Caenorhabditis elegans: one gene and its partners. The protein of the gene in region 2 interacts with the protein of the main gene of each other region in a pairwise test. Each region holds a gene or a part of one and is shown on either strand. Other genes may lie near its edges.

What was found. Proteins that work in one complex are often made in the same cells at the same time.
Region 1: the proteins of mpz-6 (region 2) and tsct-1 interact in a two-hybrid assay, tested with the Caenorhabditis elegans proteins (one large-scale study listed by BioGRID).
Region 3: the proteins of mpz-6 (region 2) and abu-7 interact in a two-hybrid assay, tested with the Caenorhabditis elegans proteins (one large-scale study listed by BioGRID).

Annotation. Positions count from the first base shown.
Region 1 is NC_003284.9:12,432,294-12,437,103, reverse strand, and holds the start of tsct-1 (Protein tsct-1), read right to left. Parts: upstream 3,008-4,810; 5' UTR 2,951-3,007; coding exon 2,933-2,950; intron 468-2,932; exon of another isoform or gene 401-467; intron 1-400.
Region 2 is NC_003280.10:9,405,012-9,408,869, reverse strand, and holds mpz-6 (PDZ domain-containing protein), read left to right. Parts: upstream 1-1,749; 5' UTR 1,750-1,792; intron 1,793-1,893; coding exon 1,894-1,992; intron 1,993-2,252; coding exon 2,253-2,333; intron 2,334-2,390; coding exon 2,391-2,585; intron 2,586-2,628; coding exon 2,629-2,763; intron 2,764-2,811; coding exon 2,812-3,012; intron 3,013-3,084; coding exon 3,085-3,270; 3' UTR 3,271-3,336; downstream 3,337-3,858. Other genes in the region: arrd-2 (Arrestin C-terminal-like domain-containing protein), read right to left, coding at 1-417, 470-745, 795-1,016.
Region 3 is NC_003283.11:5,162,763-5,166,398, reverse strand, and holds abu-7 (Activated in Blocked Unfolded protein response), read left to right. Parts: upstream 1-1,616; 5' UTR 1,617-1,639; coding exon 1,640-1,864; intron 1,865-1,911; coding exon 1,912-3,003; 3' UTR 3,004-3,129; downstream 3,130-3,636. Other genes in the region: srw-140 (G-protein coupled receptors family 1 profile domain-containing protein), read right to left, coding at 1-296, 570-673.

The DNA.
Region 1 (4,810 bases), on a different chromosome or scaffold from region 2:
AAAATTTGATAACATTTTTGCGCCGTGGACAAGACAGATATGAACAAAAGTTACAACGATTTGACCAAAATAGATTTGAATTAATGTATTTTGGGAAACAAAACGTACGACATTTTTATATTAAAAAAAACATCTTTCGCCTTTAATTTGGTTAGGTGAGCAAATTAAAAATTGTTTTGAAGAAAAATGGCAAAGATAAGTTTCAAAAAATATGCTGGATTTTTTATCGCATTAAAAATCACAATCGTTGACTGATTACACTCAAGAACCCTTATTCGAAATTTCTGTTTCAAATTTGAACAAAAAACGAAAAGATAAATTGGTCGCAACATGCAGCAAATGATTGATGAACTGCTGTGGGAGACATGAATTGACACGTAATTTCAATTTTCTCGAAAAAGTGCTCGCGGTGCTGAGGAACAGCTGTACTTGCTCAAGTGTGATGGCAAGTGTGTCAAGTAAATAGACACGACGGCGCAACTTTTGGCACGGAAACTTTGGAGTTTTTTTTCTGTTTTTTTGTGTTACTTTGTCATCTGAGTAAACCCATGAGACTTTGTTTTTTTTTCAGGAAAGAAAGGAACGCTTAGTTTCTCTCTCTCTCTAAATGGTGCAGACAGTTATTGAATCATATTTTTTTAATAGTTTGAGAACGCTGTAATTGGAAAAGGAATTTATGAAAGTTTGAAGTACATCAAGGACAACTAACAACAGTTCAAGAAAGCCCAATAACTTTATGAAAGCACAGTGCAAAATCTGCAAGAACTTTTGTGACGACATATTTTCTTAACTTAAAAAAGCATTTATTTTTCAAGTTTTCCGCTTTGTGAAAAATTGTTGAAAACTGTTTTTTTTAATTTCAATGGCAGTGCTTTTTCTACTAGTTTGGAAGGAAAAAAAGAGAAAGCCAATTTTCGTAACTAGAAAAATGAAAAACTTGGTAGCTTTTCATACCTTTTTTCAAATTCTTAGAGCTTAAAACTCAAGTCTTACAAATAATCCTACATAAACCTTTGCCAAAAAAGCTAACGTTCAATGAATATGCAACAAGAAGTCAGCTTTTTGCAAGAAGAAAAAAAAATAGATGAGCTAAGAAAAACGCGTATTTTCTCTAACAAAGCCACCTAGACATGGCGCAATAACGTCTATTTCAGATACAAATAATACGAGATTATGACTGTGACATTCCAGTGAATTGTAAGATTTCTGAGATTATATTTGAAGTCATTGTCAAAAAGAAAAATATATAATTCTTCTGAATTATTATTTCAGAGAGAAAGATTTTGAGGGAGTTTTAAACAAGACACTGCGATTTCTCGTTTTCAGTCACTAGAAATGTCACAGTTTATAAGAGCAAAATAGAAAACGAATGAAAAATTGAATGCTGTACATTTCTCTTGCTCTATACTGGCTGCTACCCCACTTTTTCAATCACACTGTACGCTTCTCTGTGTGCCCAGACAAAACCATTGAAAACTACTGCTCTGCATAGCCCGCAAAGCAGGAAAGCTATTTTTCAATCGCAAATAAAACGAAAAAAGCGCATGGGAGCGCGAGATAGAATGCAATCTTTTTTTGAAACTTCGATTCTGTAGTAATTATGCAAGTTGTGGTTGCAACAATGGTGCTCACAAAAGAGTTGCGAAGAGTAAATATGAAAAGGGCACATGAATAGCGATCAAATCAAATGACGAACTGATAAAAAAGATAATATGTAGTTGTCATGTGTACTCTTGAGCGAACGTGCAAAAGAAAATTGGACACATAACATTCTGAACTGGAGTTTGAAGGCGGAGAAGATCCAAAAAGGAAATTGTTTTTGAACAAATTAGCTTTGAAGCTTTCTCTATTATTCTTGCATGCAAGACTAATTTTCAATTGGTCCGTAGGGATGTAAGACTAGGCCTGTGGAGTGGGTCGCCCCATTTTTTGGGTCGGTCGGGTCGGGGTAGGAGTCGGAAATTCTAATATCATGAGAGTGGTTTTGTATCATTTGGCTCTATATGCTCTCCTCATTTTTCAAACAGAAGTTCAATTTAAATGTTACGCTTGGAAAAGAGCAGCACACCACACTTTTGGCTCATTGTTGATTGGTGTTTTTCATCGCGTAAAAACTGGAAATTTAATTGAATACTTTTGGCACTCGTATTCGGAGGGTCTCATTGACCTTTAACTTTGTTTTCTGCAAAAGTCTCACAATGTAGGTGTTTCAAATTACGTTGCATTTGATTTTTTAACGACATGAAAAAATTTCAAGATTATACTTGAAATTTATGTGTTCAAAAATGTTACTAGAATAAATTATTTTCAATTTTTGAAAGAAAATGTTCCACATTCTTTATACATATCTTTGTACATATGGCAACTAAACGTTTGCGAAATTCCTAACATTGAACAAGACAAATTATTTTCAAATTAAATTGATATGCTGTTGAAGGAAAAATACGTAAAAATAAGAAATTCTAATTTTAGTTATTGTTTATTCTTATATTTTATGAACGCAAAAAGCACTTGATTAAACAACAGAAATCAAAAAGTTAAAAAGAAAAGTTGCTGTTCAGACTGACGGGGGTACGGATAATTCATGCAAATCGGTGTCATTCTAAAAATCGATATGTGGAATTGAATCAGAAAGGAAATCGTCGAAAAAATTACAGTTGACTCACGATTTCTGTATTTTAGAGTTTGTTTCGCGGCAGTCACGCGTTTTACATTGGCGACGGTGAAGAAGCAAAACGAAAGGACAACAAAATTGCGTAGAGTTTCTCTTTCTCAACCAACCATCAAAAACGTTTAGATTTGGAAAACGTGCTGGAGATAAACAAAACACATACATAAACACGAGGTCATTGACAACGAAGAGCCGGTTGTTTGATCAGGCAGATCATAAGGAGACAAGGTCATGTGGTTTATCTTAAAAATGAACACTTACTGCGGCAAAGATGAACATTCTCAGTGACAGGATCCCTTGCTGCGGTCTCTTTTAGCTGTAACTACCCTGAAACTTTAAGTTATTTGTATCTTGTAAAACCAACGTTATTGACAATAGAGAGCAAAAAAAGTTGTGAAGATATAAACGCAAACCATAAGAAGGAGTAACGGTTCTGCTTTTTATTTGAGTAAAAAATTTTAAAAATTGAGGTTCCGCAGGAATCTTAAATTTAGGCCACTTGTCCGCGGAGCGACTGGAAAAAATATTATTATTTAATCACAACCTCATTTTGAAATTTTGTGTCGTTTATGAAAAATTCGCTAGTTTAATCTCAATTTCTACAACAGGGTAAAGTTGATAAAATTTTAGAATTTTGCTATATTGAGTATTTTTTTGTTAAACTTTTCAACCGTTAAAAAGAAAAAGAAAAAACACTTTTGTGAAATTTTCAAGAAGTTTCATCCTGAGAACAAATTTGCAAAGTTGAATGCAAAATTTGATTTTTTTTATCACTTTTAAACTTGCGTTGAACTTACGTGAAACTATCTTATATTAATGATTGATTGGTAAATTCACAAAAATTATGCCCCATGTTACAGATCTTGTGAAAATTAATTAATGTGTGAACACATATTTTTAAAGTTCAAGAAGTTTTTTAATTGAAATTGTGAACAAAACCACGTGATGCATTTGCGGACGCACAGAGAAATTTGATATTCACTAGGAACATTAAGTATGTTTATTTTTTCGTTTTTTTGTATGTTTTAAATATTCGCAACAAAAATTTCAATTGTTTTAATTATAACATTTATGATATTTGCAAAGTATTTCATCTGATTAAGAGTAAAAATAATTTCTGTTATTTTCAAATATCATAAATAAGAAAATAAATGAGAATGGCAAGATGAAATATGAGGAAAAACGGGTTTGTTGTAACATAAATAATGCTCATCGCACATGTGCAAATACATAAAATACGTAAACGATGAGATAAAAAAATTGAATTTCTCGAACGTCTCTATGTGTATCTAATCCGATAAACACTAGTTTTAGGGAGTTATGAGGATGTTTTTCGTCTTGTTTTCTATTTTATTTTTAAAGATTTTATTTTTAATTATAATTTTAAAGAATGTCAAAGTGTAGAAAAACCCAATCAACAAATGAGCAGAAAAATTAAATGAGCACTCAATGTCCTTTTTTGGAAGAGAGCAGATGGTAGTTAAAAGCTAAAAAGACGCGGAACCCTTTTTTTCAAATGTGTTCCTCTGTGACGGCTGGCTTTTATGGGTTGAATGAAAGAATGATGGTGTTAGGGTACCACCCGACACAAAACAAAACAGAGCTGTTCTGCAAGATCAAAATGACGTTTTTTCAAAAATATATGCCAATTTTCTTAAAACTAAAAAAGAACAAAACTGATACAAGAATTGAAATTCCCAATGGGGTAAAATTCGAATGGGATGAGAAGAGGAAATGGGCGGAGGAAGGGGGCAAAAACGTTAATGAAATTTTGTTTCAAAGTTTTGTTTGCCCAAGGCTATTTTCTACTTTTTACATTACTTCAAAAATTGTAATTTCAAAACAAAAGTGGACTGGAAAAAATTAAAAAATAAAAATATTCCAATGGCTGCGCTGCAAACAAACAATTGGATGCTTCCAGATTTTCCAAATTTGCTGAAAACAGAATCGACAGGTATTTTGGGCAAATCTTCCTGCACAAATTGGGAATTTAACCTTGGAGCTCAGAGAAAAATGATCTACATGCAAATGTATCTATATATATTATATATATATATATATATATCTAGAGAATTTATCAAAGTATTAATTTGGCAATGTTGAAAATAGGTAGAGAAAAATCACAATCCCAACTATTTT
Region 2 (3,858 bases):
ACTTCCAACCACAATCCGTGCATTACATGCTAATCGATTCCCGGTCAGTGATCCATTTCTTAGGGTAAATCCCAACAGGTATCCCATTGAGATCATTGGAGATTCGAAAGTTGGCGGGAGTCCATTTGGCAGATCAATCTCCACATTGATATATTTCACCTCACCAGGTGCGACGTCACAACTGTAATTGGCTCCGCGGAGCACTGTTTCACCATCTCTTCGATATTTGGATTCAATTGGGCAGTCGGAGTGACAATCGTTAAGAGAACACAATGATTTCTGTGGGCGAGAGTGGTAATGGGATTGTTGAATGAGCTCGAAACGAAGATTAATGATTGGTTTTGTTGAATGATTCTCCATGATGGCAAGTGCTCGGATTGTCTCCCCTGCGAGGAATGCTCGTTTGGAAAAGTGAAGCTAAAATATAATGAGTGAATTTTTTGACTCTACTTTTGAAATTGAACAATACCTTCAACAAAAACAATCCATCTTTGAAAATCGTTCCAGAATTCTTCGACTTGACAAATTCCGCGTACTTCATCATTTTTGGCTCAGAAAGTGTCAGATTTGTCTTCTGAACCACACGGAATGTATTCATCATTTTTAACTTGAGTCTCCACGGACGATCAAATTCCACAGTAACAGAATACTCAATTTCTCCAAACATTCCGCAAAAACTTGGCGGAGAATTTTCTGGAAGTCGGAATCGGAAACGTGATTTGAGAGTTCCAGCGGGGATTGTGTCCTGAATGGGAATATTTTGAAAATATATTTATTAAGTATTAAAAACTCACAACTCCATCTTTGGCAATCCATCCCATAAATGTTCCGGCAAGATGGCGTTGGACATTTGAGCTCTCCGATCCTCCAAAATTACACTTTGATTCTCCTTTCCACGTGATTTCCATATATCGTGCAGAAATTGGATCTTTTGTTGTGAGCAACACTTTTCCAGAGACATAGTCGCCAGGCAGGTATGTTTTGGAAGGATTGGAGAAAACAATGTTCACAGACATAATTCAAAAGGGAGAGATCGAGATAATAAAAGACTGACTGAATGAGACAGATTCTACGTCGTTGTAATCAACTTTCAGCGTTTGTGGGCGGAGTTTCCCATCTTGCTCGGAGAGTGTGGAGGTGATGTGACAATATAGAAAGGTGGTAGATTGCCACCTGCTCTTTTATGAGAATTCCAAATCGATATTGTAATTTTTCTGCACCAACGAAGAACAGTGTCGGTGTAAAAGTCGTGTTTGTTATGGAAAAACGTATTTTCAGATTTTTATCTCCAATTTTCAAAAAGATCTGCATAAAAGAGCAAAATGCCAACAATGCCATCAAGTTTCCAACGTCTTCTTGATATCCCACCTACAATTTGAAACTGAAGAATCTGATAGTGGCACAAAGTCCGAAGGTACAGCTCATAGGTGAAATGCTCAAATAAAGAGAAAATAAACGAATTTTTATTGGTTTCAGCGCCCCAACATACAGCAAAGATCTGAATACAATTCGTTCAAGACTTTCAAAGTTTGTAAGAGGAGGTCAAAAGAAAGTGACAAAAGCAGAAGACAACGATGATTGAATTGTTCTATTCCATTGATCTCATCGAAATTTGATAATATTTTGATAATAAATAATTTATCAATTTAATTAATATAACAACGTGACATCGTTTGTACTTGTTTTATTCAGAAAAAAATTACAGAAAAATAAAAAGTGAAAACAAAAACTGACTCAGTTCTAAATATTTTCTTATCGATAGCTCTTTCGTATCCGCAACAATCCATTCGGAGTAAGTTAACATTCAGATTGCGCGTTGGGTCTGACAATGAGGGCATAGTGACTCTACCAGTTACTAGAGAAGCGGACTGCATTGACATGAACTTCTTACAGATGACAACCAACAACAATAGTTTTCATGTAAAAGGAAAAGAAGAAGTACAATTCGAACGGAAGAATGTGGTTGTAGCATGTGATGTGGTCAATGGGAAGGTAAATGAGGGCTCATTTCGTTTTTGTTTGTTGGGAAATGTTTCTGAAATAATTTATTGAGATGGAAATACATTTCTTTTTGAATAATGTATTCAACGTAGGGCTCGCGCTAAGAGCTGAAACGAGCACAATTTTGTCGGCATTCCTGATGTGTTTAACATTCGAAAATTCCTTAATTTTTCATAAATACGAAGTTTGGGCTATTAAAAAACTCATTTTCAATTCAAAAATCGAAGAGATCTTGAATAATCACATTTGAGATCATATATGTGGACGTGAGTAGCCAATTGATGGGTGTTCTATTTGCTGGTGATGAGATTTTGAACGTCAATGGAGAAACCGTAAGGAATATTTTAAGATCCGTTTCCGCTTCCGTTTCAACTAATCCAAATGTTCAGAACATAAAGACAACTGCTGACTTTATCCGTGCAATCAGTGCAAAACTTCCTGGAAAAGTGACAATTGAGTTCATGCGAGATGATCATTGCCTTGTCACTGAAAAACCATTGCCACCTCGTCGTCCAAATACTCAGATGGTTGAGTTGACTTTCACTTATCGTGGAGGTGCTGCAACAGGGATTATTATTCATAGAGTCAGTAATCGGGACACTTGAAACTTTTAAAGATGGTTTCCAGATGGCAGTTGATCCAAAAACTGTAACTATTTCAATGGTTCAGTCGGCTTCCAATGCGTGTCACTATGTCAAAGGTGGAGATATTCTTGTCAAAGTTAATGACATTTATGTTCTTGATCGTGACTCTGCTAGAAAAGTATGATATCTTCCGAAACACAAATGGCTACTATTATCGCTCTTTCAGCTTCTCTATGCGAGTGTCAACAACACAAAAACGGTACGTCTTACATTGGAAAGATCCACAAATACTGATCCACTCGGCCCTGCTCCACTGCCTCCCGATGGTGCACAGAGTACTGCTGTTGGAGTGAAGAAAGCTGGAAATTCAGTGATGCTTCCACCTCCAAAACCACCCCAAGGAAAAGCCAACAAGCAGTTTGATGTGGTCAGTTTAAACCCATTTTCTTTTATCACTTCACTTAAATATAGAAACATGTTTTCATTTTCTTCTTTGCAGCTTCTTCCTTCTGATGTTTTGGAAATTATGAAGACAAACAAGATTTCTACAAGAAACCGTGCACGAATCCTCCATGTATTATCAAATCAGCCGTTGCACCAGCTCCAACTCCAGTTCCAGCCACCTTGCCATCGGAGCCTGCCCCAGAAGTTCGTATCCCATACATTCCGTCTCCGAAGCCCCTGAAAATGACTCCAAAACGTCTGGGATCTTAACTTGAGGAAGATATTCGGAATAAATTTGTTCGAAAAAAGTTACTTTGAAGTGATTTATGAATTTTTAAAGTTTTGAAAATCTACCTATTTTGCCAATAAATTGTCATTTTCATTTGATAATACACACTTAAAGATACGGCTGAAAATGTACATGACAGTAAAATATACTGTGAAGCCAGAGAGTAAAATATACTGTGAAGCCAGAGAGTAAAATATACTGTGAAGCCAGAGAGTAAATTATTCTGTGAAGCCAGAGAGTAAAATGTACTGTGAAGCCAGAGAGTAAAATATACTGTGAAGCCAGAGAGTAAAATATACTATGAAGCCAGAGAGTAAATTATTCTGTGAAGCCAGAGAGTAAAATATACTGTGAAGCCAGAGAGTAAATTATTCTGTGAAGCCAGAGAGTAAAATATACTGTGAAGCCAGAGAGTAAATTATTCTGTGAAGCCAGAGAGTAAAATATACTGTGAAGCCAGAGAGTAAAATACTGTGAAGCCAGAGAGTAAATTATTCTGTGAAGCCATGAGTAAAATATACTGTGAAGCCAGAGAGTAAA
Region 3 (3,636 bases), on a different chromosome or scaffold from region 2:
AAGTGGAACAACGTCGTGAATAATCTCTCAGAGCTTCCAGCACTAAGTTAAAAAGAACCCATGCATATGAGCCTGATTGGAAACAATGGGTGTATAGAAAAATAATGGATTGAACAATTAGTTGCATTTCATATAATAAAGTGCAAATATCGAAAAATGCAATTGCAGCCATAATGATGTTGACAGATGAGTTTATCATCGGTTTTCTGGTGAGAATTATAAAATGGAATAGGTTTATTGAAAAGCTCACAGCTGCTACTCGAGATTCATTTTCGAATACTGTGTTGTAATAAGCTCTGAAATAAATCTTTTTAAATTTCACCCTTTTTTTGGGTTTTCCGGTTATTCCAAAAAAAAAAAAACGTTTGTCTCTACAACTTTATCTTGAACCAATCAAAGGCGGAATCGTATCTGTGAGTTTTTTTTTGAAAAAGACAGAAAATAGTCTCAATATACCAAACTGTACAGCGATCGAAACGTTAAAATTTTATGATAATTTTCTCTTTGAAATTTGGTAATTTCGGCACATTCCAAAACACAAATGAATATTAAAAACGAATAAAACAAACCCCAATCCATCAGCAATCCGACATAGAAACAGGGCCGTTGATGTTTGAATATTTGGATAAAAAACCTCAATTTGACTACAAAACGACATGTCTTGTTGAGCCATGGCCTTAGACTGAACATTTCATATATGACATGTTCATATATGACATTTCATATATGAACTCATTCAAAATGTTGTCGATGCCAGGTGGTTCAAACAAATTATATTAATTTGAAAATGTAAGACCACTTGATTGAATAAATTGAAATATGACAAGTAAATAGTCGCTTTTTTTTCGAACATCAGTCAGAATAACTGAGACAAGATTGAGTCATACATAGCTACGCTGAGTATTGCTAATTAGCAAAATACCAGTGCTAATTAGCTGTTGGTTTTTGGTTATGATTTTTTTGTTTTCACATATTTGAATCCTATTGCGTATTTTATTTGATGTTATTGTCATACATTTGATAACTGTGTGCCATTAAATTTTACAATAGTATATTTTTGTCACAACCATTTTCAGAATTTTTTCCAGAAATATACGGTAATCGGAGTACGCGCTTTGCCACGTAGAAATTTGATTTTAAAACTTTCAAAATGAAAAACAATTTTAATTAATATTAAAGAAAACATTGAGAGACGTCAATGTCTATACTTTTTCAAAAAAAAACACTTCCTTCTAGTAACCTTACAATAACATGTGCTCTAGTTTTCTCGCTGGCGCTACTCTACCTTTAAAAAATATACCCACAGACGAACAGTGCATACTTCAAAGCACAATAATCACGACTAAAATTGTGCAGGTTATTAATATTTGAATCACAATTCTTTTGCGCGTATTGAGGCCATTATTAACGCAAACTAGGCAGATTCCAAACGAATGCCAGACGATTTTCCGTTTACTCAAGTGTTTTAAAAGTTTCGATGCACATGCACCAGTTGAACGGAAGTTTTTTACCAACGCTTTGGAATGTTTGCTCGGCGGAAAGAGGGCGGAAAATGAAAAAGAGTTAGAAATCAGTATATAAAAGTGAGTCTGCAAGATAGTTTAACCATCCGATTTCCTCTGTTCGAATCATTACTAAAATGCGCTTTACTTCACTTGCCATTGCCTTCCTTGCATGTGCCCTTGTGGTATCTGGAAGTGTAATCCGTGAAAAGAGACAGTGTGGATGTGCTCAGCCACAGCAGAGCCAATGCTCGTGCCAACAAGTTCAACAGACTCAGTCATGCTCGTGCCAATCTGCTCCAGTTCAACAACAATCCCCATCCTGCTCATGCGCTCAGCCACAACAAACTCAACAAGTTCAGGTACAGTTCATTAACATATTCGCAAACCATTAAATCAAAAATTTTAGGTTCAATCTACTCAATGCGCCCCAGCTTGCCAACAGAGCTGCCAACAGCAATGCCAGGCTTCTCCATCAGTGTCCCAGTGCCAGCCACAATGTCAGCAACAGTGCCAGGCTCAATGCACTCCAATGTACAACCCACCAACCACTACTACCACCACCCAAGCTCCAGTTGTCCAATACCAACAGTGCCAACCAGTATGCCAACAGCAATGTCAATCTACCTGTGTTCAACAACAACAACCAGCAGCTCAATGTCAGCCACAATGCCAACAACAATGCAATGTTGCCTGTGATTCCCCATCCACCACCACCCAGGCCCCACAAGTGATTCAAATTCAACTTGAGATCCAACAAGCTCAAGCTCAATGCCAACCACAGTGCCAGCAACAATGCCAGTCCTCATGTGTCCAGCAACAACAGCCATCGACCCAATGTGAGCCAGCCTGCAACACTCAATGTTCTGATATCTGCCAACAAACTGCTCAGGCTACCCAACAAGTCTACAACCAGAACATGAACCAGAACACCAACACCCAAATGTACAACCCATACAATACCAACACCAACCAGAACGCTAACTGCGCTCCAGCTTGCCAACCAGCCTGCGACAACTCCTGCACATCCCAACAGGCCCAGCCAGTGTACCAACAAGCCCAGCCAACTTACCAAGTCCAGCAAACCACTGCCGCTCCAATGTACGATCCATACAACAACCAAGGATCTGCCAACTGCGCTCCAGCTTGCCAACCAGCTTGTGACAACTCCTGCACATCCCAGCAGACTCAACCAATGTACCAACCATACGACACCACCACTGAAGCTCCAGCTCAAGTCATCCAGATTGTTCTCCAGACTTCTGTTGCTCAATCATCCCAATGTGCTCCACAATGCGAACAGTCCTGCCAACAGCAATGTGTTCAGCAACAACAGCCAGCTGCTCAGTGCCAAACTGCCTGCCAATCATCATGCTCTAACTCCTGCCAAACTGCTCAACCAGCAACTACTGCCTGCCAACAGAGCCCACAACAGAGCTCCTGCTCCTGCCAAGCTAACTACTCTCCATGCGGAAATGGACAATGCTGCCGCAGAAAGTAAGAAAGACCGAATCGATCGATCGAAGATTTATGGGTATCAATAGTCCATTGTTGCTCAAAATCTTTTTTGTATATTTCGAACACCATTTTTTCTTTGACTATATGATAAATAAATCATTTTCAATTATTCTACAGTATACAATAATAGACAAAAAAATGTTGATAGACCTGTACCAATCTAATTCGAATGTTTTGTTCTTCAAATTAATGATATACATACTTTACACGTAATCGAATAAACAGAAATCAGAAAACGTGATGATTAATCTATTGTTCTCTAGTTTTGATCAGTTGGAGTGGGCGCAGAAACAGCTCGTAAGCGTGAAGAGCCTCTTTTCGGGTGGGAAAATGATCTTTGCACAATTGCCGACGGGGCAAACAAATATTACGAATAGATCAAAAAGTTACGCCGATCAGCTGGAGAGATATGGTGAACACTTTCACGATACTATTTTTAAAACGAGTTTAATTCGTTCATACAAGCTTATACGAGTTTACTGTTGAAAGGTTCTACAGTAATCAGAGAAATTTCGAGTTTAACAAATAATGAGACTGACAAATATCTTCTGAAACAGTTTCTAGCAGATACAACTAAACATTTTTTGTGTCATATTCATCGAACGCCCTATCAACC